Diceros bicornis minor: one gene and its partners. The protein of the gene in region 4 interacts with the protein of the main gene of each other region in a pairwise test. Links are inferred from orthologs where the notes say so. Each region holds a gene or a part of one and is shown on either strand. Other genes may lie near its edges. The genes, in order: CSRNP1, SPRED1, TOR1AIP1 and PPP1CA.

The links.
Region 1: the proteins of PPP1CA (region 4) and CSRNP1 interact in binary tests that used the Homo sapiens proteins (3 or more experiments, as listed by UniProt). The link is inferred for Diceros bicornis minor from reciprocal best matches to the Homo sapiens genes PPP1CA and CSRNP1.
Region 2: the proteins of PPP1CA (region 4) and SPRED1 interact in binary tests that used the Homo sapiens proteins (3 or more experiments, as listed by UniProt). The link is inferred for Diceros bicornis minor from reciprocal best matches to the Homo sapiens genes PPP1CA and SPRED1.
Region 3: the proteins of PPP1CA (region 4) and TOR1AIP1 interact in a two-hybrid assay, tested with the Homo sapiens proteins (2 studies listed by BioGRID and IntAct). The link is inferred for Diceros bicornis minor from reciprocal best matches to the Homo sapiens genes PPP1CA and TOR1AIP1.

What each region holds. Positions count from the first base shown.
Region 1 is NC_080741.1:41,917,545-41,925,072, forward strand, and holds the start of CSRNP1 (cysteine/serine-rich nuclear protein 1), read right to left. Parts: upstream 3,018-7,528; 5' UTR 2,955-3,017; coding exon 2,944-2,954; intron 2,934-2,943; exon of another isoform or gene 2,888-2,933; intron 1,894-2,887; exon of another isoform or gene 1,779-1,893; intron 802-1,778; exon of another isoform or gene 1-801. UniProt on the Homo sapiens protein: Binds to the consensus sequence 5'-AGAGTG-3' and has transcriptional activator activity. May have a tumor-suppressor function. May play a role in apoptosis.
Region 2 is NC_080744.1:36,357,222-36,364,810, reverse strand, and holds the start of SPRED1 (sprouty-related, EVH1 domain-containing protein 1), read right to left. Parts: upstream 3,005-7,589; 5' UTR 1,963-3,004; coding exon 1,931-1,962; intron 1-1,930. UniProt on the Homo sapiens protein: Tyrosine kinase substrate that inhibits growth-factor-mediated activation of MAP kinase. Negatively regulates hematopoiesis of bone marrow.
Region 3 is NC_080743.1:87,166,042-87,173,837, forward strand, and holds the start of TOR1AIP1 (torsin-1A-interacting protein 1), read right to left. Parts: upstream 3,014-7,796; 5' UTR 2,907-3,013; coding exon 2,432-2,906; intron 325-2,431; coding exon 247-324; intron 1-246. UniProt on the Homo sapiens protein: Required for nuclear membrane integrity. Induces TOR1A and TOR1B ATPase activity and is required for their location on the nuclear membrane. Binds to A- and B-type lamins. Possible role in membrane attachment and assembly of the nuclear lamina.
Region 4 is NC_080770.1:6,127,524-6,134,967, reverse strand, and holds the start of PPP1CA (serine/threonine-protein phosphatase PP1-alpha catalytic subunit), read right to left. Parts: upstream 3,004-7,444; 5' UTR 2,935-3,003; coding exon 2,880-2,934; intron 2,381-2,879; coding exon 2,249-2,380; intron 2,103-2,248; coding exon 1,872-2,102; intron 1,264-1,871; coding exon 1,159-1,263; intron 744-1,158; coding exon 520-743; intron 438-519; coding exon 303-437; intron 231-302; coding exon 120-230; 3' UTR 1-119. Other genes in the region: TBC1D10C (carabin), read left to right, coding at 4,495-4,733, 5,495-5,594, 5,820-5,927, 6,016-6,122, 6,316-6,430, 7,134-7,199, 7,321-7,444. UniProt on the Homo sapiens protein: Protein phosphatase that associates with over 200 regulatory proteins to form highly specific holoenzymes which dephosphorylate hundreds of biological targets.

The DNA of each region.
Region 1 (7,528 bases), on a different chromosome or scaffold from region 4:
TGGGATTGGCTGGAAAAACAGCCTAGGCAGCCCAGAGAGCACAGACACACCCCTCCCCCACCCATCCCTCTGAAAGTGATCCTGGGGGAGGGGACAGTTCCTCAGCCTTGGCCTCCAGGGCCTGGCACTGGGTAGGTGCCAAATGTTTGCTGGCTATGTGAGGCAATTGCTTCTGCAGAAGGGAAATTGCACCTGACAGTGACTGCTTCCTGCACCTAAGCAAGGCCTCCTTCACTCTCATCATTCATTCATTCATTCATTCATTCATTCAACAAATACTTATCGAGCTCCTATGTCATGCCAAGCACTGTGTCAGGCACTTGGACACACAGGGAGCAAGTCAGACACTGGTGCTGCCCCCTTGAGCTTTGAGTTTAGTGGGAAGGAGTATAATCAGAGTTACAAACCAGTGTTGAGTACTGGGATGGAGGGTGGGAGGGGTGGGGCAGGAGGGGTACAGCTGGCAGTGAAGACAGGTCTCTCGGAGGAAGGGAAGTAGGAAGAGTTCCAGAGAGGGGGCAGAGCAGTGTAAGGGATTTGAGCTGAGAGAGGCAGAGTAGTGAGGGGGGAGGGGAGGCCTGAGAGGGGGCTGCAGGACGCCAGGGGTGACAGGGCAGGCTTTAGCCTGAGGGCACAGGAAGCCACAGAGGGTTTAAGTAGGGAGTGACAATAACAGATTTGCATTTTAAAAAGATGGCTCAGCAAGGGGACTGGAGGGGGTGGGAAGGGGTGTGACCGGTTGGACCGCACCGCCAGAGCTAGGTGAGAGATGACAGGACAAGGGCAAATGAGAAAGGGGAATGGACTTGGTGACTTCTGGATGTGGAGACCGATGAGGGCAGTGATGTCAAGGATTTGGTGGTGAGGTGATGAGTTCCGTTCCAGAGAACTATGAGACATCTGAGTGGAGGTGTCGGGTGGGCAGCGGGCCCAGGAGGGACCCTCTTGTGTCAGGAGTGTGCGCTACGTGTGATTGTGCCAGGGAGCAGGAGTGACTAAGTGTGTGAGGGCTGCTGTCGTGTGGGCATCTCAACAGCCTACGGAAGAGCCCCCGGGGAGGGGAAACTGAGGACCAGGAGGAAGTACGTGCCGGGGAGGGGAGCAGCGCGTGGGAGAGAGCCTACGTGTGCCCGCGGGTGGCCCGGGTAGCTGCGCTCGTGACTCACAGCGGTGGCCTCTGCGTGTGACGGTGACTGACAAACAGGTGAGCGTACGACACAATCCCTCCCTCCCTCCCGGGGTCCGTGACTCACGGAGCTTCACTCCTCGCTCATCCCTCCTCTCCCTCCCTGACCCCTGCCTTGCCGGGGGCGCCAGACACGCGCCACAGCCCCGGCACCCGCCCCCGGGGGGAGCCCGAGGAGGAAGGCGACAAATGTCACCTGCTCCGGCCACGCGAGGAACTTCTGAAAAGTTCTCAGACAACTGGGTCAAAACGAAACTCACCCGCGGACGCGCGCACCCCGTCACCCCGCCGCCCGCGCGCAACCTCGGCTCGGCCGCCCCCCACCCCGAGCTCGGGGCCGTGACTTCTCGGGGGGACCGGCGGCGAGGCGGGGGAGGGGAGCGGAAAACCTGTGACTCTCGCCTCCCGGGCTCCCAGCCCCGGACTCCGGCAACGGCGCTCAGGCTGTGGCCAGGCTGGGTTGTCCCCGTCCCCGCGCCCGCGCAGGGGGACGACGGACAAATGGCAGGGGCTGGAGGGGCAGTGCCACCCGCGCAGGACGTCCCCTCCCCAAGGTCCCATCCAGCCGCGCCCGGAGCCCCTCAGCACTCACCTGCGATCCTGGCGCTCACCAACGACACCGACGCGACTCGCGTCCCGCCCGGGGACGTCCCCCGCGCCGCACCCCTGCGTTCGTTCGGCCGGGCAGCCGTCGGCCCAGCCGCCCCGAGCTCTGCGCGTCCGGAGCGGCGGCGGCGGCGGCGGGAGACTGGCTGCGCCCGGCCCCGCCCGCCGCTCCGCCCCCCTCGTCAGTGGAAAACTCCGGGGCTCACGGCGCTGACGCACGCCGGGCCTCCCGCCAGGCCGCCCGGCAGCCCCGCCCCGGAGGCGCCGCCTCCTCCCCCGCCCGGAGCCGGGCGCCGCGGCCGCGGGGCCTCCCTACGGACTCTGACCCCGCGACGGCGCCTCGACCGCTCTCCGCCCTCGGCCCTCCGCCGCCCTCCCCCGTCCCCTCTCCTGCACTTTCATCAAGTCGCCGACGCTGCTAGCCAGCAGAGCAGGGCCGTAAAGATCCCGACCTAACCCCAAGACCCCCGTTTGCAGATGGGTAGACTGAGGCTCGGAACAGCGCAGAGCGTCCTGAAGGCCACCGGGCGAGAAGGTGGCAGTGCCGCGGCCGCCTACACGCCCTCACCCCCACCCCGTCCCAGGCAGTTTACTATAATACAATCTACAAGTTCCCTCCTCCGCGCCCTCCCTACCACCCACCCCCAGAGCCGCCTGAAAAATAAACTATGACTGGAGAAGAACCTGGGGTGGGGGATGGGGGTGAAGGCAGGGGGGAGGGGGAGGAGGTCATCTGTGGGCCTGACCTTCACCTCTGCCCACCGGCCAGAGACCCTGCAGAAGCCCTGAGCTAGGAGTTCTTGGAACCAGCTTCCCGCCACCCCCACCCCACCCCATCCGTCTCTTAAAAAAAAAAAAAAAAAAAGGCTGGTTTCTTCCGAGCCAGACCCTGGCCACTTAAGATGGCCCACTGCCTTCTCTGCTCCCGCCAAGGCCTTTCCTGACTAGGGGCCAACTCTCCCTGTATTACGGCGCAGGGGAAAGTGTGCAAACCCTGCAGCGAGTCCTGGCCCAGGAACCCACCCTCCGCCCTTCCTCCCAACGCTGGTCCAGTCCTACCCACCACGTGTCCCTGGAACGTTTCTATCCTCACACCTTTGCTGCAGCCGTTGCTCTGGCCTGGAATCCCTTCCTGCCCTCTCGCTGCTTACCAGAATCCCATCGCCTGGAAGGACTCCGCTTGCACTGCCTCCTCCAGGGAGCCTTCGTGGGAGCCTGACCCTCCCCCTCCCAGTCCAGCTCCCGCTGCATTCTGGGTTCTTCCCTGACTGTCCTAGATGAGTGCTGTCAGTGACTAGCCCAGCCCTCTGGATTCCTTTCCACCTTCCTCCAGGTGGGGGTGGGGGTGACCTGTCCTGCCTGGATGGCGCCTGGAGTGGAGAAGATGGTGAGGGCCCTTTTTCGGCCACAGGTGTGTGTGTAGAGGGGCCAGTAGGGGTCTGCCTGCCCTTTGTCTTTCCAGGTAAGAACAGTGGAAGGAAAGCAGATTGGGGGAAGCTGCATCCCCTGTCCTTTCTGGATGCCTTGAATGTGTGGACCTGGGGGGGCTGTCAGGGAGAGGTGTCTGGACAGCTGGAGCCAAGCCTCCAGTGACTTCCCAGTGCCCTAGGATGAAGTCTCAACTCCGTGGGGCCTACAAAGCCAGAGTAATCAGGCCCTTGCCCACCTTTGCAGCCTCGCCTCTCTCTCTGCATGTTCCCATCCCACCTTCCCTTCCCTGCTCCTCCATTTTAATGTCTTTAATGTGTGTATGTCTCTTTATTTGTACATTGTACATGTGACGTTGGTGCAGCATATGTAGTTTTAATTTACACGCGAGGTATTCTGTTCTATATCTCTTTAAGTTTCTTCCAGCCTGACCTCTACACTCCCACCCTACGTCCTTGATAACTACACTCCAGCCTGTTTGCCAGCAGTCAGTTCTTGGGGGTGTGTCCTGCTCATCCTGGTTCAAACTTCCGAAGATGCTGATCTCCAGCCTGCACCTGCCTTGCACCCACTTAGTCGTATGGTTTACTAGTGCATTTCCTTGTGTGTTGTCTGTGAGCAGTGGGAGGGCAGGGGCTGTGTCTGACAGTCCTTAGTGCTTGGTAAGAACTTGTTGAATAAATTAAATGTACCTAGTAAATGTGTACAGGGAGCTGGGGCTCAAGGAGAGGGCAGGGCTGGAAGTGGAGATGGAAGGGTCATCCGCTACAGCGGATACACTGAAGCCATAGGCGTGGCTGAGACAGCTCAGGAGGCTACAGAGCTGGATGTCAGTTGCTAGAGGTGACTCAGCCCTTAAGGCTATGATGGCGGGTGGCCACCCACCCACCACCCCCTCAGACACTCAGCTGTGCTCTCCCTGTGGTGGCTGGTTGCAGACCTTGCTGGTCCAAAGGAATTCTTTCTTCCACTGCCTCCTTCCTACCTCTCATCCTCTGGCCAGGTCCCCAGGGGAAAGGGGGGTCTCTGTGACCTAGAGTGGAGTTCTAGTTTACTTTCTCTCTCTCTCTTTCTCCTTCAGTCTTCCAATTGGAAAAGTAGGGGCATTGGACCAGAGAACCTCACCGGCTTCAACATTTCTTGAGTTACCTTCTAGAAGATGCTGCCTGCTGATCAGGGAACTGGGCAGAATTGAGCACTAGAGTTGATGAGGGTCTCTCAGGCTGCCTAGATTTGCGTCCTGCTGGGCTGTGTATTGGGGAAAGCAGACAGGACAGAGAGCGGGGCCGGGAGTTGGTAAGAGCTGGAGTGGAGGCTTAGAGCAGGGAGCCCAGTGGGTGATGGGATTTGGGGGGCAGGAAGAGAAGGAGAGAATAAAAGGGAAAATATAGGATAATAAAAAGAATCAAATAAGTGATGTGATTTCTCCAGAAAAGCATCTCCCTGTCCTGGGATGGGCTCACCAGATGTTCCCCAGATGTTGCTGGTGATGGGAAACATCTCCCTCTGGGATCCCAACTAAGCTCTTTCTGTTGGTGGGGAAATGAAGGGTCTGTTCCAAGGCAAGGAGGGTGGGGTCTGGAGCAGCCTCCATCTGTGACTTGGGCACATACATAGGCAGAAACACACCCACACATCCTCAGGGAATTTCTGAATGCTTAAGAGAATCCAACGAGTTTCTCAAACATTCAGCATCCATGGACCACCCATTTTAGGTAAATAAAAGATAGTTTTAAATAAATATTTTTAAAAATTACAAATTGTTGATGCATTCCCATCAGAAAGACTAAAATTAAAAGGACAAATTAAAAAAGTACCAAATGTGGCAAGATTAAGAATTAACCAGATTTATCATACATTGTGGGTGGGAGGGTAAACTGATACAATCAGTTTGGAAAATAATTGGGCAGTACCTACTAAGGCCAAACACAGATAAACTCTATGATCTTGTAATTCTACTCTTCAATATATACCCAAGAGAAACAAGGTACTTATGTCCACCAAAAGATATATGAATGTTATAGCAGCTTCACTCATAACAGCTTAAAACTGGAAACAACCTCAAATGTCCCAAAGGTGACTAGAAACAAATTGTGATTTATCATATAATGGAATATTGCACAGCAATGAAAAAGAACAAGTGATTGCCTCATGCAATGACAGGGCTGAATCTTAAAAACATTATATTGAGTAAAAGAAGCCAAAGACAAAAGAAGAATAACTATAATTCCATTTATTTATATGAAGTTTAAAAACAGGCAGAACTTAATCACAGTGATGGATAACATTATCTTTGGGAATATTGACTGGGAAAGGCCACAAGAGGGCCTTCTGGGGTGCTGGAGATGTTCTATATCTTGATCTGAGCAGTGGTTGGACAGGCACATACGTATGTAAAAATACGAATTCTACACTTAAGATTTGTTCACTTCACCTTATGGAGGTTTTACCTTGATAAAAGGAGGTGGGAGGGGATGACGATCGTAGTGCCTTAATTGTGAAAGGGTTGCTGTTGTTTTCAGCCTTCCCAGTAAGTCTATGTCCTGGCCAATGAGGGATACCTGGGGCTCATAGGTCAGGTTCAACTGTTTAGGTTTCTCTCCATCTAAATTAGTGTAACGGGTAAGAATTTTATTCCATCGTGATTCCTAGGTGCAAGGAAGTTTTTATTTTTTGCATCTAAGAGCTTTATAGTTTTAGCTCTTATATTTAGGACTTTGATCCGTTTGGAGTTAATTTTTGTATATGGTCTAAGGTCAGAGTCCAAATTCATTATTTTGCATGTGAAAATCCAGTTTCCCCAGCACCACTTGTTGAAAAGATGTTATTTAAAATCAAATCAAAGCAGCTGATTCCCCAGGAGAACTTCAACCTCAGTCAGCAGGGATACTCTCCCATGTGCCCCCTCCAAGGCTTATCTGAGGAATGGGGATGCTTTCCCCTGTCCAGGATGGCCCAGCTCTCTGATTTTCAGTCCGTGTTGTCTGCTCACAGGTAATAAGGCCCTATCCAAGCCTATGGATTCACTGAGAGTAGGTGGTGGGCTCTGCTATTTCTGAGCCACCCTTCATTGTGAAGAGGAAAGGAAGGAGTCTCTAGTGAGGCTGGGAGCAGGGACTAAGGTCTTCTTAGGAGGCTCAAACATCCATCTCTGGACAACACCACCCCGCAATCTCCTCCTCTCCCCAGTCCTGGGGAGAGTCCTGCTCCTCTCCACCTTGCCTCTTCCTCCTTGCCCTCAAAGGAACTCACCTCTCCAGGCCCCCATCTCTCCCCCTGCCCTAGTCCCTGCAACAGGCTAAAGATGTGGCTCCCAGATGAGCAGCATCAGAATCACCTGAGAACTTGTTAGAAATGCAGATTCTTGGGACCTTCCCAGACCCACTGAATCAGAAACTGGGAGTGGGGCCCAGCAACCTGTGTTCTAACCAGCCCTTCACTGATTCTGGTGCACATCAAAGTTTGACACCCAGTGAGCTAAGGCCTTGGAAAGCAAAACCCAGGAAAGAGGACTGTTTTCAGGCACATTTCTTGAACCTTCTCATTTATGTAAACTGAAAGACATTTGAGTGTAGATCTGTGGATTAAAAATCTGAGCAGTTGAGTTCTGGGTCAAAGGGTTTTGACAGATGTTACCAAATCACCCTCCCAAGAGTTGCACCAATTTCACTTTCAGCCAATGGTATCTGAGCAGGCCTATTTCCCAACACCTTCCCTGGCAATGGGTATCATCAAACTTATTGATCTCTGCCACTCTGATAGGAGAAACAAAGAAGAGATCTTACTGTTTTAATTGGCATTTCTCTAATCATGAGTGAAGCTGAGACTTTTGTAAGCCATTTGTGTTTCTCTCTAAACTGCTGGTTTACATTCTTTACTGATTTTGTATTGGGTTGTTTTAAGTCTTGGAGGATTAAGGAGATGAACCCTTCTGTCTGTCACACATGTTGCACTTACTCCCGGTTTGTTTTTTACCTTAGTTTATAGTGTATTTTACCAGACAGAAGTTTTAAATTTTTACATAGTCAAAGTTCTTAAACATTTACTCTAGGAATCCTGCGTTTTGTGTGCTGCATTACCTAACATGATATTACGCATAAATTCACCTATTCTTTTCTCCAGAGTTTTATGGTCTGATTTTTAATGTATAAATCCTTTATCCATTTGGAATTTATTTTGACTTAAGGAATGGACTAGAGTTCCCACTTTGTTTTTGCCCCCAAATGATTAGTTAATTTTCTTATCATCTTTCTCTTCTAATTTTAAGGTCACCTTAAATGGAAATTGAATTCTCATGTGTACTGGGGT
Region 2 (7,589 bases), on a different chromosome or scaffold from region 4:
AACTTGCACTCTCAATTTGTCCATGCCAAGTACTACAAAAAGACCCCATTTAGAAACAATATATTTTACACCTGTCAATTCACATTCCCTCATTTGCTTTTCTATTAGCTGCATCCAAAAAGGAGGTATTCAATATTTTACTTTAAATATGGTAACGAATCTTTTCCCATCTCTACAACAGAACTTGACATTTTGATCCAGGCTACTTTCTTTAAAGATACCAGGAAAAACTATCGTCATTCCGTTCAGGATTTTTAGCAGTTTTTCTCCTAACTCAGCGTTATCTGAGATACTTCTTGATCTCTCTCAAAGTAGGTCTAATCTGCGGAAGGCAATGAGACAGTGTACTGCACTGTGAATGGACAGCCAGGTATTTTATGAATGGAGGCAATCACGTGATCCCAGCACCTCCCCGAACTGATATTTCCCACATAACTGTGTCAACATTCTGAGAACAGGGGTAGTTGTTTGTGTGTGCGTATGTTTTTGAATTTAACCTACAACTTCGAATTCTCCTTACTTCCTGAACTCAAAAATCTACATGAAGACAGAGTCAAGCTTCGAATTTTTTTCTTGGGAAATTCTTTCAAGATGTCCAAGGTGATGGATGTTTAATTATTTTTTTATGAATGAAGAGTGTGCTATGCAAATGAGGGCGATTCACAAAAAGAGAGAGAACATGGCGGCCACTTCTGCTTCTAGACTGCACTGACACTGCAGCAATCTACCTTCTCCCACACCCGCTCATGAGAAGAGTGTGTTGGGGGGCGTGGGGGGCGGGCAAGAGAAACGCTACTTGGCATTTCTCAAGCTATTTTATGTTAAATAGGCCTAGGCTTTGGATTTTCAAGTTTTCTCTAAACGGCCAGACTTGAGGAATGCACTTTATTTAAAGGAATGCATCCTAGGACTAGTCCTAACTCACTTAACTCTTTCCAACCCTACCAAGATAAACAAAACTTGAACTTAATTACAAGAAAAAGGATGCTAATATTCTGCACGGAATTAAATCCCATCTCAATAGAAAACTGTTACCGCATCATTATTCCCCCAAGCAGCTGTTACGTTAAAGCAAAACATTTAAAAGGCAAAGTATTTCGTTTGAAAAACATAAGGACAGCCCAAATAAACAAAAGCTTAAACCGGGATGCTCTAGAAGTTAATGAATGAAGTCATCAACTTGTTCAGCAATGTAAATACTGTTATACCAACGTAAATGGTGTGTTTCAATATAGCTGAAGGATAAACATTAGCATTCAAAATTCTTCTATGCTCCTGATAGAGACACGTCCAGTATTCGCGAAGGTAAAATATAATAGTTCGCCATCTCCCACACTCCAGGTGTCTTCAATGCCATTAAATTCTAAAAATGTTTCCCTAGCCCCATTTTTTACAAGAATCTTACAGGTCCTAAGTATAAAAAAGGGGGGAAGGGGTGGAGGCTTAATCGGTATTTAAGAGTCACTGACTCATCGAATTAAGATTCAAGAGCAGTTTGCTGCAGAAGGTGCTCCCACACATTAGTTTCCAAGTGAAATAGCTATAAAGGAAGCAGGACGGATATTCAGGATATGTTGATTGGTATGCTAAGGAGAAAAAGGACAGGCCAGGGGTCTTCCAGGCAAAGGGGTAATTTCCACCCCGCCTCCATCCATCCACACTGCTCCATCTCCTGGACAGACAATTGCCATGCCACCCCAACACTCAACGCCCTCCCCCAGAAGAAAGCAATTAAACGCGGGGGGTGGGGGGTGGGTTTGCTGCCATTAAATAAAATGGCTCAAGAAATGAAATGTTATCTTCACAACAAGATGCACCGAACTCTCCAGGGCTGCAAGCTTTCCGGCACCCAAGTCTCCAGGGGTCTGGGGGAGTGCTGAGGAAAGAAGCGGGGCGGGGGGCTAGCAATCAGGATCAATGAGGCGCTTACTCGTTGTCAGAAGTCGCCGTCTCCTCGCTCATCTTTCCCTCACCGTGATCCGATCTGGAGATGGAGGAGCAACAGCAGACGGAGGAGCAGCAGCAGCACCGGGGGGCAGGAGGCAGTGGCGGCCGGGGGGGCGCGGGGGCAGCGGCTCAGGGGCCTCACCATGGTGGATGCCTCACCCGGAACGGTGCCCCCCCAGCCGGGAACCCCGGCCACCCCCGCAGGGGGGTGGCGGCAACAACCTCCGCCGTGGCGACCCCAGCCTTTTCCCCCGCCTCAGCGCCCAGCCAAGGGATCCGAGGAGGCGAGGAGGGTGGGTGGAAAGCAAAAAAGGCCGGGGGGCTGCGAGGCTGACTGGAGAGCGGCTCCTCCGGCCACTGGGGTGGAGCGCGGCGGGGTCCGGCCAGGAAGGAGCGGGCGGGCGGGCGGAGAACCCGGGAGCAGAGGCGGCGCTTCCCTCAGGGATGCGGCGAGGAGGAAGCAGAGCTCCGCTCGGTGGGGGCCGGCGGGGGGGTGCCGAGCCCAGGCTCCGGGCGGCGGCGGCGCGGTCCTGCCGGAGCCCACCCCACCATCTCCCGCCTCGCCGCCGGCTGCCCGCTCAGCCCCCGGCGGCGACCGGGGCGGTCCTCAGGAACGAGCCGAACCGGCGAGGGGCCTCACGGCGGCGGATTCCTCCAGACACGCTCCAGCCCGGACGAGTCCAGAGCAGGGAGGAGGGGGCGGCGGGGAGCGGGAGGCAGGGGCAGGCGAGCCGACCGCCCCCACCCGGGCCGGAGGAGAGCGGGCGCGCCCGCGGCGCAGGGTGCCGAGAAGCGGCGGGAGAGCGGGCAGAGCGGCCGCAGGACCCCTCCAGCCGTGCCCACCAGCACGGAGCTCGGCGGGCCAGCTCCTCACGCCCGCCAGAGGGGAGCCGCGAGGGGGGCGGCGGAAGCGCTCACGCCGCCCGCTCCTTCCGCCGCCGCCGCCGCTGCCCGAACCGGGGGCGCCCGCGGGAGAAGGCGGCGAAGTAGTCCCTGGCAACTTCTCCCGGACGCCGGCTTCCCCCGGGGCCAGAGCGGGCACGGGGTGGGGTTGCTGAGCGGGGTGCCCGCGCTGTGAGGGCGCGTGGGTAGGAGAACTAAAAGCTGCGGCCTCCGGGCGAATCACTGCAACTCGAAGTCGTGTGCAGCATAGCAAGTTTCAGGAAAGTAGTTCCCTCCTCCCTTCATTTCCCAAATCGTTGTCGAGCCACCGAGCGGGGAGAGGAGGAGGGAGGCGGAGGGATACGCCAGCACCGTGCTCGGTGTGCGTGCGCGCGCTCCAAACTCTTGGCACGCTGCGAAAGGGGGCGGGGGTGTGAGCTGCACGGGGAGCTGCTTGGGAGCTTGCATTGTTGCGGCGCGTTACTCCCCGTTACTCGTTTTAGAATATCCGGGTTGTTTGGACGAAGAGGCTAGAATGACAGTGTGCTCAAGGAGAAAATTGGAGGCTACACTGTTCTGCCGCGCGCGCGCGCGCGTGTGTCTGTGTGTATGTGTGTTTTCCTTGCAGAGCAAAGAATGGAACTGGCATGAGTTCATCTTTAGTTGGTGGGGGTTAGAGGGAGGGACTGTACAAAGAGAGCTCCGCCTGCTGTCCCTCTGGTTGCATTGCTGCAGTCCCCCAGCTGCAGGCACAGCGGGAGTGCGTGTTGGGGTGTGTATGTGTGTGTGTGTGTGTTAGAGAGAGACAGAGTTTTAATACCTTGGATTCTTACTGCACCAGGGGTATGCGGTGCAGGGCATTCATCTCTGAAAGCTAGAGTGGTTGTTAATGGAGAACGACTTCCATTGAAGCCCGGGGTAGGCGTGTTACATGAATCTGGCGCAGCCAGAAGCACAGGAAATAACTCCCGCTGCGAGTGAGGTTGCATAACTATAGCGCAGAAGATGCCTCTGTGGCACGAACTGCTCTAAACGGAGGCGGAACGATTACTGAATAGGCAGCTGTCACGTTTGCATTGTTAGAGGACAACGTATGCATTCATCTCAAAAGGTTTTTGCACAGAAACCTGCTGGGGTTGCGGGCCGGAGTCTGGGGTCTGCCCGACCGGAGGACTCAGCTCCTGGCTCTGTAAATTCTATTATCTTTTCTCTACCTAGAAAGCCAGCCTATACATGATCGGGCCTGGGGGACTGAATCCCAAGTTTCTGACGCATCTCCCTAGGTATCAGTCTAGCTCTGTGCGCAATGCTTTTCTCTTCATTCTCAGGTTTGTGCGTCCTGAGAATGAAGATTGCTGCTCCTGCCACCTTGAGGGATAGAACATTTCCTGAGGAAGAAGAAAGTGCGAGAACCTCTCAAACAAGCCAGCACTCCCCTTCTGCCGTCCGTCTCCTGGAAGTTTCAGGATTGTTCTCGGGAGCGCATACACTAGCACGTTAACAGTGTTTTGCACAAAGGAGGTGCTTAATAAATGTTTGATGAATAAATAAAGGAGCTAAACCAGTCAGTCTGCCCCAAAAACCATCCCGTTGATTTCTGAGGTTTCTTGATTTAACTCTTGCTTCGTGTCTTGCCAGCAGCATTGTCCATACCCAAAGGGAAGAAGGGGCAAAGTTGGTGACAGGAAGAGGTGAGGGGATCTGCAATAGACAGAGGTTACCTCTGTTACCTCTGAACCTGCATTTTTGGTCTTGTTCCTGTGAAGAACCTATAACTGGGAGTGTTGGTACTGGCCTGCTCTCCTTCCATTACTACTGCTAATCACTCTGGCTGCTCAGATTTCAGTCAAGTCCCGTCAGTCATAATTTGTGTGTTCTAGACAAATTACTTAAACTCTGTGCCTTTGTAAAATGGGGATAATAGTACCTAATTCATAAAGCTGATGTGCTGGTTAATGAGGTAATAATATACATGAAGCACTTAGAACAGATTAAGAGCTCAATAAGTCCTAGCTCTTACGATGATTTTGTAAAATGGAGATAGTCAGAAACGCCGCGACAGGGTGGTGGCAGTTGCTCTGAAGGTTTAAATGTAAAGCATTCAGTAGCCTTGTTCATTCAGTCAACAAATAACTAGTGGTTTTCTCCCGTGTACCACTCGTGCTAGACACATGGCCCAGCCCTCAGTAAGTCATTAACAAATGGTCATTCTTAGAGTCATTATGATTAAGTAAGGACAAGGAAAGTTGGGTCACTTGCAAAGGCCTCCTTTTCTTTTGAAAATATTTGCATCAGTTTGAGATTCACATGCATCAGGGAAATGACCCGTTACAGGCTTTGGGAGAAAAGATGAAAACCACCTTGGCTGTCATGTGGAAGACACTGTGCTGGTCACTTTCGCACACATTGCTTACCTAAAGGGGCAAGATATGATCAATACCCCGAATTAATGCTTTTTAGATTGTTCCCAATCCCATGACCCGGACACAGTCACCAAACCATTCCCCATGCCGTTCTCAGGACACCTGTGTGCCCTTCTTAAGGTGCATCTGTAGCTCTCTCATCTCATCCAGTTGTTGAAGATCTTACCAAGTTTGTAAAAAACTGTCTTGGTCTGGCCTGAGCACTGAGTCTTCTACTCTGAAAACATCAGAAATGGTCCTACGATGAGAATCAGAGCCCAGGGGGCTTCTAGTCTGACTTTCTATCAGCAACTGCCCTAAACACAAGAGGCCTCCCCTGGTCTATTCCAGTGTTTGGACCTTAAGAGGTACAAGAGACATAGCAGCCTAATGCAATGTGTGAGATCTTATTTGGATCCTGATTTGAACAAATATTTTAAAATTTGAGATAATTGGGGAAACAAAAACTAATTAGATGTTGATGATAATAAGGAATTTTTTTTAAGTATTGGTGTTGTAGTTGTGTTTTTTAAAGTCCTTATCTTTCAGAAATACATACTGAAATATTTTCTTCAAAATAATCCAGTGGAGTGAGGAGTGGGGGGATGTGGGTAGGGATATAGATGAAACAAGATTGGTTGTGGATTGGTGATAAGCACATTCTCTTTACTATTGTATCTATTTGAAATTTTCCATAATAAAAAGGTTTTTTTAAGTACACGGCAAGTACCCCTTTAATGCAGATTCCTAGGCCCCAGTCCAGAGATTGTGATCAGCAGATCTGTATTGTGCTGACAAACCTACTTTTCCAGAAGTATGCCAGGTACTGAGTCCTTCTAGGCCTTCATAGCCTTCTCCTCCTTTCCTTGCAACCGCTTGTGTCATCCCATCCCCAAACACATCCCTAACTGAAACCTCTGCTCCAGAAGAACATGGAAAAGGGTGGCCCAAGGTATATCATAGGCTAAGGTAGATACTGGTCAAGGCCAGAGGGCTGGTTCAGCTAGGGAAGGTGGATCCAATAAGACTTGAAAAGCTATGTGAGAAGGTACATATAGTTCACAGTTTTACTTTAAGTTTCAACTCCATTCAATTGGTATAGCTACCAATGAGCAGTAGTTGAGAAGGATTCCGTGGCCATGTCAGGGGTCAGGAGGGCAGGAGACACTTGTATTTGCTCGGTTGCGTTTCCTCAGGTAGGTCTGTGAGAAGGAGGCTGGTCACCATAGCTGGTGCTCGCAAGTGGCTCTCAGTACTATTGTCCTCAGCTTTAGGAATGAGCCACAGCCACTTAACAACCTGTTGTAAATGATTAATTATCGAAAGCATCCCTGGGCCAACAGCACAACCGCCAAGTAATAGCCAATATAGGACATCGTCAAAGTTAAGATGGTACCAGTGGGTTCTGGGTTCCAGGTAGGTGTCAGATCAGGGTTCACCAGGACAGCAAAGGTGGCCTGTCCTCGTGGAGGCACTGGCAGATGGCATGTAGCGCTCCAATTCAAGGCTTTCTCCCTCTTTCCAGACCACTCAGTCTGTTGTGACTGTCTTTCTTAGGAACTCAGAATTTGTCTTCTCAAATTCTTTTTGCCTTTATTGTTTTATGCTTATATTGATAATTCTCTCTCTCTCTCTCTTTTTTTTTTTTTTTGCTAATCCACTTTTTATGAGTTTATGTTTATTTTCCCAGTTAAATTTTAAGTGGCGTGAAGGCAGAGGCTGCGTTTCATTTTTTGGTGTTCTCGTCACAGTGGTTTTAAACACTTTTAAGTGAAATGTTTGCTAAGGCCTTGTGTATGTATAAAAATGAAGCTGGATGGACTGACACTGTGATGGAAGTTTGGAGGCCCCTCTGGCTTCCTATTGCAACTGGAAAACTACTGCAGTTCAGCATTTCACATACACCATCCCTTGTACTATTATGCTCTCAGCAGATATCTATATACTTGAAAAGCCCAAAGAGGAGACAGCCATGCCAACATTTGAGGTTCTAACAGTATGTAAAATACATGTACACATTTCCATTTCTAGACTTACTCTTATCATTACCCCTTAGCAGATGTTATTACAATTTTGTATTTTGAAACTGTAGTTAATATGTGCCTAGATCAAAGGGGACTCTATTTTCATGCTGTACTTTGTTTAATGAATGAGCTTTCTTTTTTTTTTTTTTTTTTTTTTTTTAGTGTAACCAGTCTCTTGGCTAATGAGCTCTGCCTCTCAGGGAATTACTAAATGGTAACCATGTTTCTAAATAGTTTCCTTGCCTCTGGCATGAGTCTGTTTCTCCATCACTAGGGTTTCCATGTTCTTCCAAACTAATGCAAAGTATAAAGGATAAGTATGCTATTTTATTTT
Region 3 (7,796 bases), on a different chromosome or scaffold from region 4:
TCATGCATAGTTATGTGAATGAATGAACTAACACATACAAAGTGGCTGGTAATTAGTAGATACTCAACTATCTGCCCAGTCTTTTCTTGACCCATGCCTGTACTGCTTAATTCCATAAACAACCTATGAAGCAGATTCACTGAAACTCTGAATGAAGTATGATTTGGGACCCTTGATGAACTGGCGATAATCTGTACATAAAAAAAAGCTGTCAGGTAAAGAAAAAAACAAAATCACTCTTCTCACCTGGAGTTTCTTGTGTTCTCCAGATAGTTTTCTTTGAGACTGTTTGGCTTACAACAGTATTTGAAGATGGTTCATCCTCTAAAGAATAGACATGAAAATTGTCAAAATTCAGAATATATGATCTAGGTAGAGATTATGCATATTAATAGCAATATATAAGCAGAAATACAAGTAATTCATTTCTTTAGAAATGTGTAATTAGGTTTAGCAAAACTTAAGAATTTAACTAGTCAGAAATACACACTCTTAAGACAATATAAAAATAAACTATTCACCACTGATGTTTTACAACAAAAGTATATTTACTTTAGAAAATTTAAAAGATGGGCTTCTTGTTGTTAGTGCTGTGGAGTCGATTCTGACTCCTAGTGACCCTGTGTACAGCAAAGCAAAACCCTGCCCAGTCTTTTTGGCCATCCTCTCACCTTCGGTGCTGTATCAGACAATGCTCTGTTGTTATTCATAGGGTTTTCATGGCCAATTTTTTTTGAAAGTGGGTGCTCAGGTCCTTCTTCCTAGTCTTAGTCTGGAAGCTCTGCTGAAACCTGTTCACCGTGGGCGACCCTGCTGGTATTTGAAATATCGGTGGCATAGCTTTCAGCATCGCAGCAGCATGCAGCTGCCACAGTGTGCCAACTGACAGACTGGTGGTGTGGTTCCCAGACCAAGAAACGAACCTGGGCCTCAGTGGTGAGAGCCACCAAATCTTAACCACTAGACCCCACCAGGGCTGGCCTAAAAGATGGGGTAGAGTTTCACTAATGATGTGGAAAAAGCAGAAGAGTGAAAAACGTTTAGATTCTTATAGACGTACTAAAATTGAGGTAAAACCTTTGTGTGTTAAAAAAAAATTAGCTAGTATAACTGCACTAGGCTCTGTGGGAGAGTCAATACAATGTAACACATATTTATTGCCTACTATGTGGAAAGCATTCTTCCAGATATTGAAGGAGATACAGAATTAAGGCAACTACTAAAGTATAACAAGGCCCTTCAAATATATATAACAGGATCTGTCTTCAGGAAGTTTATCTTAAAAGAGAGAGAAAACTCATATATATGGGCTAACCTGTCTTGAGTTGTTACATCCAATAGTAACTTACATATCTTTAACACAAAGTTTCCAAAATCAACACATCTTCAAATGTGTCAGCAGGTAAACGTGCAGTCCATTACTCTGAACTGAAAATCTACCTCCTCTTCATATCCATCAACGGTCTACCACTAACTATGTAATCCCATTGTGATTCAAATCCCCTGATTTTTACCTCATAAGTGCCTTACATGGGGCTAACATGCAACTTCACCTATGTGTGTTGGGGGGGGAAGGCAGGGTGGGAGAGGATGGATTAAGGAAGTTGATTCACCTGTGACTTACCTAAAACTATATACCTTGTCAGCATCCTTTTGGCCCATTCAGACGAAAACTAATTAGAGTCGTGCTTTGTCAAGCTCCTTAACCACTGAAGTTACACTGAGGGCCCCCAACGTGGCGAATTTCTGGCAGAGACCACCACACTGAAGAGAGAGCGATCAGCTCAAGTTTATCAGACAATGAGGAGCTTCAAGTTCAGGATAAACGACTTACCCCGTTTCAGGTAAGTATTTGGGTGGGGTCTCAAGTCAATTCACCAATCACGCTATCCCTCCAAACGCCCACTCACAAAATTTCCCCTCCCTCTCCCCCCACCTGGGTAGTGACGGAAAAGGAAGGAAAGGTTACATTAGAACCACGCTTCTCAACTGGGGACTTCTGGCCTCAGAGTTAAAGGAGGAAATGGAAGTGGCTTTGGTAGACACATCCGCAAGAGAGAGAGGAAACCGCAATGAAACCGAGCCTGGAGTGATTCGGCGTCCCGCCTAACTAGCCGTCCCCCGTGAAGGCCCGCAGAACGAGGCAATCCCGACACCCCTAAATTGATGCCTCGGGACGGGCAGAGCTCCGCGGCTCTGCCCAGGCCGCCCCGCAAGACTGCCTGTCCAGTCCTCCCGCCCGAGCCTCTTTCCCGCCTGCGCTTGGGCGGACCCCACGTAAAGGCGCACGTCCAGGGGGCGGGGGAGCCCCGGAGCCCCGGCGGGGATGAGTGCCGGGGAGGAGCCCGCCCGCCCGCTGCACGCCAACATCCCACGCGTGCCCGCTCGCTCGCTGGCTTTCGGCTGAGACCGTTACCTCCGCCGGCCTCACCTTCAGAGGAATGAGAGTCCCGTATCCCTCTCCTGGTCGTAACCGGAGACGGCTGCAGCGGAGGCTGCAGTGAGTGCTGCTGCTGTAGGCGAGTAACCCTTCGCGTCTGCATCTCCTCGGCTTCCAGACGTCGCAGCTGCGTCCGCCGCCGAGACCGAAGGTAGTAGGCGCTTTCTCTCACTTCCTCTTTCCCAGAGTCGGGCCGGAACTCTCGTAGCGGGATTCGTCTTCCCACCGGGGACTTTTCTTTGGCCACCCGGGGCTCGAAGTCACCGTACACTTCTGGCGGCTCTTCTGAGAACCTCACTTCCCGCCGGCCGTGGCGCGACGGCGGAGTTCCGTACGCAGGCGCATTACTGCCGCCGCCATTTTGAGGGGCGAGCCGGCATCTTCTTTCCCGCAGCGGGGCCCTGGGCGTGACGTACCATGCCCATTCTTCCCTCACCGGCTCCGCCCGCCGCCCCTCGCCCGCCATAGTTGTTGACGTAGCTTGAGTCGACCGCGAAGATGGTTTGGGGGCCCCTAGATTCTCCAGCCGTCGATGGCACTGGCTTTTCGGGGCTGTTGGGCGGTGGTCGCGGCCGTCAGGGAGGTAGTTGAGAGTCGCCGGGGCCGCCGCCTGCGTCGTCGCTGCTGTGCTGCAAACCTGCCTCTGGGCCCATGGTGTGTCCTGAGGGCTGTGGGAGAGGCAGTGCCTGTGCTGGGTCAGCTGCTGTGGGTCACTCCCGCCTCCTGGCTGAGGGCACCAAAGAGGAGGAGAAGAGGGAGGAGGACGTCGCTGTCCTTGGCCTTGGAGGAGGGAGGGAGGAGACGACGGAGAAGGGACAACTGACGGGGCAGATTTCCTCTCCTAAGCCCAGCTGCTCGTGGCAACTGTTGCCCGAAAGCAGGAGACGCCCGTCCTGGCGCCCAGTGCCGAGTGTCTGGGAAAGGCCGAGCAAGACGGGGGCGGAGGAGAAGTTTGCGTCCTCGCCCCCTGGCTGTTGCGCAGTTCTCCTGGAACCTTTTTGATGGACTGCTTCCTTAGCCATGCCTCTTCAAGTGTCCCTAGCAGAGTGAGGATAAGAAAGATACTTTTGCAGGTCTTATATCTTTTCTTGGAGAAATTTTTATTTTCAAGCTCCTTATGAAGGCAGGTATCCAGTTTTAAATTTAAGTGACCTGTTGCGAGTGTACAAAATCGTACCTACAGGCATACTCGGGTGGATTTCCATTTGCAAAATGTACGCAGAGCAAATAGGCTCTTATTCTTGGCTTTCGTATAAAGGCTCTGTGCCAGCAGCGCTCTTCGGAAACCTTGTTAGCGCTGTGTTACGGGCAGTGAGAAATGAGCAAATACTTTGCTTAAAGCCGCGCTGTCTTTTAACTTGTGATCCATTATTTTTACTTTGATTCTGGGCATGACTTGAAATACTGCGTTTGATTTAGGGTTTCCTGCGTTTAGTTTACTAAGAAAGCATGATAACTGTTTGTTTCACCTCCGTATACCATAGTTACAGATGTGAATAATCTGCAAATATCTAACCAAATTTAGACACACCGAGGGAAAGTTAAGTTAAAGTCTGAATAGTTACTGAAAAAAAGATTAATGTTACCTTCAAATATACACGCTTGTCTTGCAGGACTTTTCTGTAATTGATTTTAGTGAATAGATTTAAAAACTTGTAACTTATACCAATTACAATGAATGATTTTGTAAAGTTTGAAGGTATTTGTTTATTCTATCAAGTCTTTTAAACCCCTTCTAATGTTTTTGAGCGACTCTTGCTCAAACTAGGCACAGATTTCAATTTAATGAAATATTAAGGTGTACTGTGTTTTCACTAATAGTCTATAAATTTGGCCCCAGACACAAGGAATTACATACTTTAGAGAGTCACCTAGGTTTTAGCTTGTTAGGGATTTAGTTTAGTTTAGGTTTGTTTACAATATACAATATAGCCAAAGAAACTGGAGAAACAGTAACAAGGGAGATGCTTTTTTTCTTTTTAATCATTTATCTTAAGGGAAAATTAAAAGTGTATTCTTCTTTGTCAGCTTGAGTTAGTATATTTGGAAAATTTGTGAGAATTAACTTTTCTGACAAAATGCTGAAGAATATAGATACTTGGTAATACCTGGCTTTTATTTACTTATGTTTTAAGTAAGACTTTCTCTATAACGTGCCTATTCTATTACTCATTATTAACATATAATAGTAAAAGTTCCGTAATAGATGTAATTATTAAAGGATATAAAACCTCATAGTATTAATGTGCAAAGTTCATATTATGTACATTAATGCGTATATTAAGAGCCTCTTTAAAACATTTACCAGGACAAATGACTAAACAGAAATTTGGATACAGACTTGTGAAACTTAAGTTTGGGGTATACTAAAAAAGAGAGAAAGGACAAGAGGTTCTGCATATTATTGAACAATCAGAGAAGATGAGAGGTTCTACGTATTATTGAATAATGAGTACATGTGTTATTTTGTAATTAAAAATGCTTGTAAAGGCTTAGGAATGACTTTCCAAAGAAACGAATCATGAGAATCTTAAAGAAGAATCAGAGGCACGGTAACTGGAACATTAACATGTATATTTGCTTAGGATTTTCCGTCTTTTGTCTAGGTAATAAAACTACATAATCCTAGCTCTGCCATACCTGCCTCCCACACCTAGCAACCTTACAAATACCAACTTTAATAACAAGTGTGAGGTAAAGCTAAACTCTCATCAAACCAGATATTCTGCTGTAGATGTTTTCCAGACTACAAGGGTGGCCCAAAAGAAGTGACATTGCAGAGACAGACTCATAGCCTATATTATAAGGGAATTGCGGAGCCACTAATACGAAGAGGAAAATACTAAGAGGAGCTCTGGATGTTAGACAGTTACCTTGGGAATTTGAGATACGTGGAGGAATTCAGTGAATCGAAAGAGAAGACAGTTAAGAAAGGAAATGATTGTAAGAAAGAATACATTGATGTTAATAAATATATGAATTAGTGAGTGTATTCTTTACCAAGATGTTTAATAAATATATGAATTAGTGAGTGTATTCTTTACCATTAGGGAATTTGCCATATATTAGGTAGGAGAGATATACTACAAATTATAATTTAGATTAAATGATGCGTTAATTTATATATCTAGCTGTTAGGCCTAACTCTTGACACTGGATTTCTAAATAAAGCAGCTATTTTAAATGAAACATTTTATTTTAAAGTAATAATTTTTGTACATGAGTTTTTTGTTTAGAGTAGGCAGAAATACAATTATTTACAGATAAAGCACTGTCAATTTATTGTGCATAATATGCACATTTCTGGTCAGATAGGGAAATAAATAACTGGGGTTTTATCTTAGTAGAAAGAGGCAACATTGTTATTTTTAATAAGGAAAAGATGATTAAAATATTAGAGGAAGTAAATTAAAGACATAGTAGTTGGCTCCATTTATTCCCCATTCTCACAAGTGACAGAAAAAGTATTTTAAAGACTTTATACGAATGAAAATGTGTAGCTGGAAATGTTATACTGAAATTAAGAAAATTTAAACTCAGTGAAGTGAATGGAATATAATAAATATTCTTCCGCTTATTCTCTGTTGAATTAGAAATTGCAGTCAATTATTAAACATCATCTAAGAGTGTTTCCAAATCCTGTGACTTCTGCCAAAAGAGGATGATTGAGAGGTGGAGGCACTGATACATGAAGAATCATTTATCCAATAAATATTTGAGTTTCTGCTGTGTACAGTCAGACCATGTTGTAGGTGCTGGAGATTCAACAGTGAAAGAATAGACCAAAGGCCAAAAATCCTCCCTGCCTTCTTGGAGTTTATATTCTATGGGAGTCAGATAAAAAATCAAAATAAGTAAAATAGTGTGTTGGTCAGAAGTGTTACGGAAAAAAATGAGGAAAGGAGAAGTGAGATTTTGAGTAGATTTCTTCTATATTGTCTTGAATTGGTGTAGGTCGGGAACAGAAGTTTTAGATTTACTTAACTTTGCCCCTAGCCAATTATGTGTTCTTGGGTAGATTGCTTGCCATCTCTCCGTTTTCACATTTGCGAAATTACTAGATCAAAATAATAGCTACTCTTTATTCATCATTTACTACTATCATTTAGCAGACACCGTTAAGTACATTAGCGCATTTCCTCACAACCACCTTATGAGGTACGTAGCGTTGTCCCCAGTTGACAGGAGCAAACTGAGGTTTAGATTAAGCAACTCGTTTGAGGCCAAGCACCTAGTAATGGTAGAGGCCGGGTTCCAAGTGTGATGTCTGACTGGTGCTTGCCATCATCATTGGGTAGTGCCTCTCACTGTGTTGGTTCCATGGGTTCTTCCAGCCTATGCATTCTAGATCATTGTAAGGGTTAGGGTCGTCCGATGCGCTGCGGAGATGCCTGCTTCCCGTCAGACAGCAGCACGGGAGCCGGGACGGGTGGTTCTGCTGCGCGCGCTCACCACGCCTCTTGCTCTGGCGGGGCTGGCTGCGGGGGAGTGGAGAGACGTGCGTGCGGGCGACTGGGGAGGAGGAGGAGGGGCCGGGCGACTACCAGTCCCGGCATTCCGCGGGCCCTCCCCGCCCGGAGGTCACCGTCACGTCACGTGGACAGGCACAGGGAATACGTTCTGTTCCGCCGCGTCGGAGGGGTGCAGCCTCTGGTTGTGGGGCAGAAAGAACACGCGAAGGGCTCCGCTGACATTGACAGTGGACGGTTTAAAACCTCGCTAGGATTTGTAAGTAAACAAAATGTATATACAACCTTTCCATGTTTTAATGTTTGATCTGATATCTGATTTCGAAACATCTTTCAGAAACGATCCCTCCCCACCCCCACCTCCCTACTGCAAAAACCCTAAGCGGAGCAGATTGGGGGTATATTTTTGTTTTGTAGTAAAGAAAGATAAACAGAACCTTATAAACCTTAACACTAAGATGGGAATAAATGTTTGGTTTGGACTTTGAGAAGGGAAGCAGAATTCCTATAAGGCTCAGAATGTAAACGGGGAATCAGACTACCACTGTAGGTGGTGATTACTTCCCTTTACCTCTGCCAGACAGGATCCCGTCTTTGGTCATCTTAATCCTTATGAGATAGTACCCCCCCCCTTTTTTTTAGCTTTAGTGGTGCTAAAAAGGGCAAAGTTTTGAAGTTTTAGTAAGATTCTACAATTACCATTTTTCTTACATATTATATATGTATTCCCGATTGTATTTCATACCCAATGAGAGTTTACCCCTTTTTCCTTCCTTCACGGAAGTGTCTAGCTCTCTACTTTATCAGTAGTGCTTAATTGTTAGACTTTATATGCAGATGCAGAAGTGTTATCTTAATCTGCTTCAACATACTGTTTTTGTTTCATT
Region 4 (7,444 bases):
AATACACCAAGGCTCCGCGTTCCCCATAATGGGTAGGCCTGGGGAGCCAGTGTGACGCCCCACGGCTGTGTGATTTCTGTACAATCCACCATCTGGGGCAGAGGGCGGGCACACCGAGGCTATTTCTTGGCTTTGGCGGAGTTGCGGGGTGGGGTGATGGGCCGGCCTCCAGGGTTCAGGCTACTGAACTGCCCGTATTTCCCCTTGTTCTTGTCGGCGGGCTTGAGGATCTAAGAGAGACAAAGCTGGTCAGCTCACGGGGCCACGCCAGGGACCACCAGCCCCTTCCTCCCCAGCCCCACCTGGAAGGAGCACATGAGCGTCTCGTCCACACTCATCATGGCGCCTGCGTTGTCAAACTCGCCACAGTAGTTGGGAGCTGAGAAAAGTGTCACCAGCTGCCGCTTGGCAAAGAACTCATAGCCATCTTCTACCACCTGGAGGAGGATGGGGGCGGTTAGTTCAGCAGGTGCTGGCTGCCCAGGCCCCGTTCCCACCGGCCCAGAGCTGCCAGCCCACCTGATGCGCCCGGCAGATGAGGTCCAGATCGTGCTTGTGCAGGAACTTGGCCACCACCTCAGCCCCGAATGTAAAGGAGACACCACGGTCGTTCTCGCCCCAGCCTTGCACGTCCTTGTCAGGGTCGGACCACAGCAGGTCACAGAGCAGCCCCTGGTCAGGCACATCCGTGGGCCGCATGATACGCCGGATCTGCTCCATCGACTGCAGGTCGGGGGACAGGCCTGGGGGGTGCAGAGCATAGGACGCTTCCTCAAATAAGCCTCAAAACAAGGACCCCCTCCTCCAGACAGCATGTGCAGTCAGCCTCTGCCTCCCCCGTACCACCTGGCTGTCTCCTGGGAGCCCAGGCAGGCAGAACTCATCACCTGCCTCTTCAAGTCCCTGCCCTCAGGGAGCACACAGCTCCCTGGAGAAAGGAGACAAGTGAATTCCATGCTGGATGCTGAGGCCACAACAGGGGAGCGAGTGCGGCCTAACACTGGGGTGCAGGGGGACTTCCTGGAAGAAGGGATATGCGAGCCCAGACGCCAGGGAGACCTGTTCCAGGCACTCTCTTCATCCCAAGGCCCCCAGGGATGTGGCCAGGCTCCTCCTCCCCAAGCATTCCCTCAGCAGGTACCCCAGAGCCGCCCTCACCTCCATGGCAGCAGAAGATCTTCTCATCCACAATGGCAGCGATGGGCAGGCAGTTGAAGCAGTCGGTGAAGGTTTTCCACAGTTTAATGTTGTAGCGCCTCTTGCCTGCCCAGAGTAAGGAGATGGCTCATGAGGAGGCCTGTCTGCCTGACCCTCAGCCTGGGTCTCTGGGCCCTCCCAGGCACTTCGTGGGCTGTTCAGACACAGCTGGGAGAAGAGAGTGGAAGGCAAGAAGGGAAACCTCCAACCCCACCCCACTGCCTACCAGCCTTCTAAGAGGAATTCTAAAGCAGCTGAGTGCACAGGAACCTAGAGTTCCAATCTGGAACAACCTCAGGTTTGGCACCCACCCCGTGAGCAGGAGCAGGGCCAGGCCAAGACCAGGTCTGGTTTATCTCAGCTTCTGGCCCACAGAGTCCAGTCCAGATAGGCATCCTATGTGCTTAAGTAACGGATGTGCCGGAGGGAGTGTTAGCAGGCAGGGCCCTGCATGAAAATATGGTCAGCTCTTCAGTCAGCAACCATTCACCAGACCCCTCCCGAGTGCCAGGCCCCAGGCCAGGAGGGCAGGGCCCTGCCTTCACGGAGCTCGCAGTCCAGCAGGTGTCTGTCAGACACTGATATCCCTACCACCAGGACAATGTGAGGGCCCCACTGGATAGCGGGGAGAGCTCTTCAGGACTTGGGCAGCCCCAGACACCCAGCCCACTCACACTCATCATAGAAGCCATAGATGCGGTTGATGCTGGCACACTCGTGGTTCCCACGGAGCAGGAAGAAGTTCTCGGGGTACTTGATCTTATAGGCCAGCAGCAGGCAGATGGTCTCCAAAGACTGCTTGCCCCGGTCCACATAGTCCCCCAGGAAGAGGTAGTTGCTCTCTGGAGGGAAGCCACCATACTCGAACAGCCGCAGAAGGTCGTAGTACTGGCCGTGGATGTCACCTGTGACCCAGGGAACCGGGGTCAGCACTAGGTGCAGGGTAGAGACTTGAATCCAGGGCCAGGGTTGGGCTCAAGAAAAGGGATCCAGGGACTCTAGGGGCCAATGCCACTTGCAGGAAGCAAAGGAGCCTGGGCACGGGGCTCACCACAGATCTTGAGGGGCGCCTCCAGCTCCAGAAGAATTGGCTGGCTCAGGAAAATCTCCCGGGATTTGAGGCACAGACCACGGATCTCGTTCTCCGTCAGCTGTACATTCTTTCCAGGTCGTGAGCCCTGCACTGGGGGCGGAATGGGGCGTCAGGACCCTGGCCCCTCAGGCAGGAGGAGGGTGGGCGACACGGGTGGCCCCAGGAGCACTTCTGGAGGCTCCCAGGCCCCTCCTTGCCCAGGGGCAGCTGTTGCTGCTGAGCCTCCCGGGACGGGACCCCAACTACCCTCAAGTCACTCGAGGGGGCTGCTGTGCGCAGGGGCCTGCCACCCAAACCCCATAGCGCAGGACCCCTCCCTGGGGGGCTGGGCTTCTCACGTTTCACCCTCGCCCCAAGAGCCCCAGCCACCCCGTGCGCCCCTGGCCCAGAAGAGGGGGCTGCTCCCCGTGCCGGAGCGGCCCCAGACCTCCTAGGCGCGTCGCCAGTGGGGGGGCGGCCGCGGCCCTCGCGGCCCGTCCCCGCCCAGTCTAAGCTGGCCCTGGGAGCGGCAGGCCCGCCCGCGCGCCACTTCCGGGCCGGGCAGGGGGCCAGGGCGCGGCGGGCGCCGACCTCCCCCGCCCCGGCCAACCTTCCAGCAGGCGCCCGATGATAGAGTCCAGGTTGAGCTTCTCGCTGTCGGACATGGCGGCGCCGCCGCTCCGGCCCAGCAGCTCCGGGCCAGCTCCTGCCTCCCGCCCTCCCGCTGCCTCCTTCCGGCCTGGAGCTCCTTCCGCCATCCCGGCCCGCCCCGGCCCGCCGCCCCGCCTCCTCGGCCGCCCGCCCCGCCCGTCCTATGACCGAGGCCCCGCCCCGCCCCGCCCCGCCCCGCCCCGCCCGCTGCCCCAGCGCTCTAGCGCCTCCGCAGGACGCCAAGCGCAGCAGCCCGGGAGGCGGGGCCTCGGCTGTGGGCGGGGCTTGGGCCGGGCTCGGCGTCTCTGGGGCGGGGCCTGGTAGGTGGGCGGGGCCTTGTGGGGCAGGGTGGAGTCTGGCTCCGCCCCTGAGGATCACCCAGGCCCCTAGAGAGGATATGGGGCCGGAAGTACTGTGGAAGTTGTTTTTATCTTTCAAAAGCTAAACAGTCCTTCCCACCCCTACTCTGGGCGAGGGGGCGGTGTGAGCACAATGATAACGGTCTCCCCGAACGCTGCAGATTAAGTCCTCGAAGTGCAGAAAAGGAAACAGCTTCAGATATAGCGAGGGGCTGGTCCAAGACCGGGGCCTCGCATTCACCGAGGACCTCTACCTCGTGAGTCTCTTTGGCCCCCAGGCGCTGAGCAGACCCAGGCAGCTGCCGCAGCACTGCGAGCCCATTTTGGTCCACACTGCCTGTGGTGCACACTAATTATTACTTTTTATAAGTCCCATCATTGCCTTCTGAGTAGCATAATGATGCTGCATTGTGTGTGTGTTAAAAGTATTACTTCGTAAAGAATAAACATTAAAGAAACCATAATTCTTTTTTTGTGTGAGGAAGATCAGCCCTGAGCTAACATCCAATACCAATCCTCCTGTTTTTGCTGAGGAAGATTGGCCCTGGGCTAACACTAACATCCGTGCCCATCTTTCTCTACTTTATATGGGACGCCACCACAGCATGGCTTGACAAGCAGTGTGTGGGTGCACGCCCTGATCCTAACCTGCGAACCCCGGCCGCCGGAGTGGAGTGCGCGGACTTAACCGCTACGCCACAGGACCGGCCCCAAAACCATAATTCTTATTGGAACCCTGATTTGAGTGTTTTACATGGCAGTAACCTCAAAAGTGGAGGTGGCCTGGTCTCTCTGCCTCTTGCAGGCCTTGGCCCCATCACACGCAGCACAGAAACCCAAGCCTGCAGCCACCCAGCCCATGGGGAGGGTGGGAGGAGCCCATGGCCCAGGGGCACTGGGGCAGGCCGGAAGAGCCTCGGAGAGGAAGGGGTGACACCCCCTCTACACCCTTGGGAGGGGCCCCCCAGTGGGTTGCTGAAGCTGTGGCTGAGGAGGAAGTGAGAGGAGGAGGTGAGGTGCTACCGGGAGGTAAGCTGGGCTGGTGAGGACAGGGGCTGGGCCTGGGGCTATTTCCTGTACAGAGGCCTGGACTTTCTGCCACTTTAGGGCCCAGCCCCCCGCAACAGAAGAGGGGACAGAGGGGGCTTGGTGAAATACCCTGAAATCTCCCCCCTCTGATGCTGCAGCCAGGCCCTGGGGCTGGGACCTGGCTGGATGGGAGCCCAGGCCCCAGGCTGGCTGGGAGCTACCTCTCACACTGGCTCTCCCCACGTCTTGCAGCCTGTGGCATCCGGGGGCACCATGGCCCAGGCCCTGGGGGAGGACCTGGTGCAGCCTTGCGAGCTGCAGGATGACTCCAGTTCTTTGGGGTCTGACTCAGAGCTGAGTGGGCCCGGCCCATACCGCCAGGCTGACCGCTATGGCTTCATCGGGGGCAGCTCGGCAGAGCCAGGGTAAGTGGGGCAGGAATGGGGTGCTGGGGTGCTGGGATTGAGGATGAGGGCTGAGGGCTGAATTCTAGAGTGAGGCCCAACCTCAAGGGTCCTGGAAGGATCTAGGAACTTAGCCAGTGCCACCCCTCCTCAGGCTCCAGGTGGAATCCCAAGGGTGGCAGGACTGTGGGTAGGGTGTCCCTGTATACTGTGGGTAGGGTGTCCCTGTATATCTCTTTTACCGCCAGCCTCTGAGGGTGTGCACCCACCCTTAGGGCTGACCCTTCCCCTTTTAATCTCTGGCCCAGGAATCCCAGATCCAAATCATAGAACCTCTTCTCCCACCCTCACCCTTTCCCAATATACAGACAGGAAAACAAGTCCAGAGACAGACAGGAACTTGCCCAAGGTCACACAGCAGATCAGAGCCAGAACCAGACTCAAACTCGGGGCTTCTGGCTTCTAGTCCGGGGCTCTGTCCACCCAGCTTCCCCTGTGAGTTGTCTGTGTCCCTATCATGCGGGACAGCCAACCAGCCCCTCCCCCAACACACACCTACACACCCCCTTCAGTCTTTCCTGTTTCTGCCCACATGGGAGCCACTTTCTTTCCTGTCCCCATGACAACTACTGGCAACTCTTGGGTGACAGATCACCCTGCAGGGGTCCCCAGAGATCTCCAGGGCCAGGACCTGGGCTAACCCAAGTACCATAGAGGGTGGCAGATATGGGCTCTAGGTAACAGCTACCCAGCACCTGGATGCCTGTACCATGTGCCCCCAGACCAAGTCACCCTCCTGCAGACCTTATCCGCCAGCGGGAAATGAAGTGGGTGGAGATGACCTCACACTGGGAGAAAACCATGTCTCGGCGATACAAGAAGGTGAGGGGAGAGTGGCCCCACGCAGGCCTCCTCGGCTCATTCCCCTTTGCCTCGGCCCCTGCCCCAGCAAAATTTACCCATCCTGTGTCCCAGCACCTCCTGCCTTTTCTCCCTACCACCCAAAGTGGGCCCCTGCCCAATGACAAGTTGTGCTTGGGGCCTGCCAACACGGCCCGGTGAGGCTGGCCTGGCTGGCCTAATGGGGCCCCTTGGCCTCACCCACAGGTAAAGATGCAGTGCCGGAAAGGCATCCCCTCAGCCCTGCGGGCCCGCTGCTGGCCCCTGTTGTGTGGGGCCCATGTGTGTCAGAAGAACAGCCCTGGCACCTATCAGGTAAGGGGGGTGGCAGGGGTCCTGCCTCCCCTTCCCAGAGCCCCTCGCCGCTCTGAGCCCTCACACTCATCTTCCTGCCCACCCACAGGAACTGGCTGAGGCCCCTGGAGACCCACAGTGGATGGAGACCATAGGCAGGGACTTGCACCGCCAGTTCCCTCTGCACGAGATGTTTGTGTCACCCCAGGGTCACGGGTACGAAGCCAGTGATGCTCAGGGACCCCCAGCCCCACAACCCCCAGGCACGTCGGCCTAGTCCCCCACCCCTTTATAGCCTTGCATCTCAGGGGACCCAGCAAGGCGCAGGGGGCTGAGGCCTGGGCAGAGGCCGCCAGAGGGTGGGAAGGGCTGCCCAGAGGACTGGCCCCAAATGGGTCTTCTGGCACAGGCAGCAGGGGCTCCTGCAAGTGCTCAAGGCCTACACCCTGTATCGGCCTGAACAGGGCTACTGCCAGGCCCAGGGCCCTGTGGCGGCTGTGCTGCTCATGCATCTGCCCCCGGAGGTGAGTGCCCTTGACCCTGCTCCAGAGACCTGAGACACTGAACCCTCAGCCCCAGTGGGACCCAGTGATCCATGACCCCCAACCCCAGGGACTCTGACTTCAGGGAGCTAAGACCCTTGATCCCCAATCCTAGGGACCTGGGGACCCTGTAATCCTGTGCCCTGGGCCCATGACCTCCAACCCCAGGAACTCTGGCCTCAGGGACCTGGGATCCTTGACTCCCAGATCCTGTCCCAGTGACCTGGGGCCTCATGACCACCAACCTCAGTGTTCTTCAAGCCCAACCACCTTGACTCCAGGAACCTGGGACCCTTGACCCCTACCCTTACCCCAGTGATCTAGGAGTCTGGCATTATCACCTTCACCTCGTGACTCCCGATTCTGAACCCTGTGATCCCTGACCCTAATAACCCCAGGAGCCAGGATTTGAACTTTGAGACCCTCCCAACCCTTGACCAGTGAACCCCAACCCTGTGACCCTCAAATTCAACACCCTGAGCCCTGTGATTTCCAACCCCTTAAACCCATCGGTAGGCCTCTGTCTGGGCACGGGGGAGGCATTTGGTAAGAGCCCCCCCTGCAGTAAGTCCATGCTCCTGGCTCCAGAGTCACCCCAGATGGTGTCTAGGCCCTCCCCTCTGCCCCTTTCCCTTGCCCTGCAGTCCCCTCGTGTGGGCACTCACAGCCTGTGCCCTGCCCCCAGGAGGCCTTCTGGTGCCTGGTACAGATCTGCGAGGTCTACCTCCCCGGCTACTATGGGCCTCACATGGTGAGAGGCTGGGATGGGACCAAGGGTACAGGAGGAGGGGCTGGGAAGGCGGGTGGGGGCCCGGGACAGAGGGGACAGAGCCTGAGGTTTGGGAGTGGAGGTGCTGACGGACTGGCCGCAGGAGGCCGTGCAGCTGGACGCTGAGGTGTTCACGGCCCTGTTGCGGCGGCTGCTCCCACGTGTGCACAAGCACCTGCAGCAGGTGGGCGTCGGGCCCCTGCTCTACCTGCCCGAGTGGTTCCTGT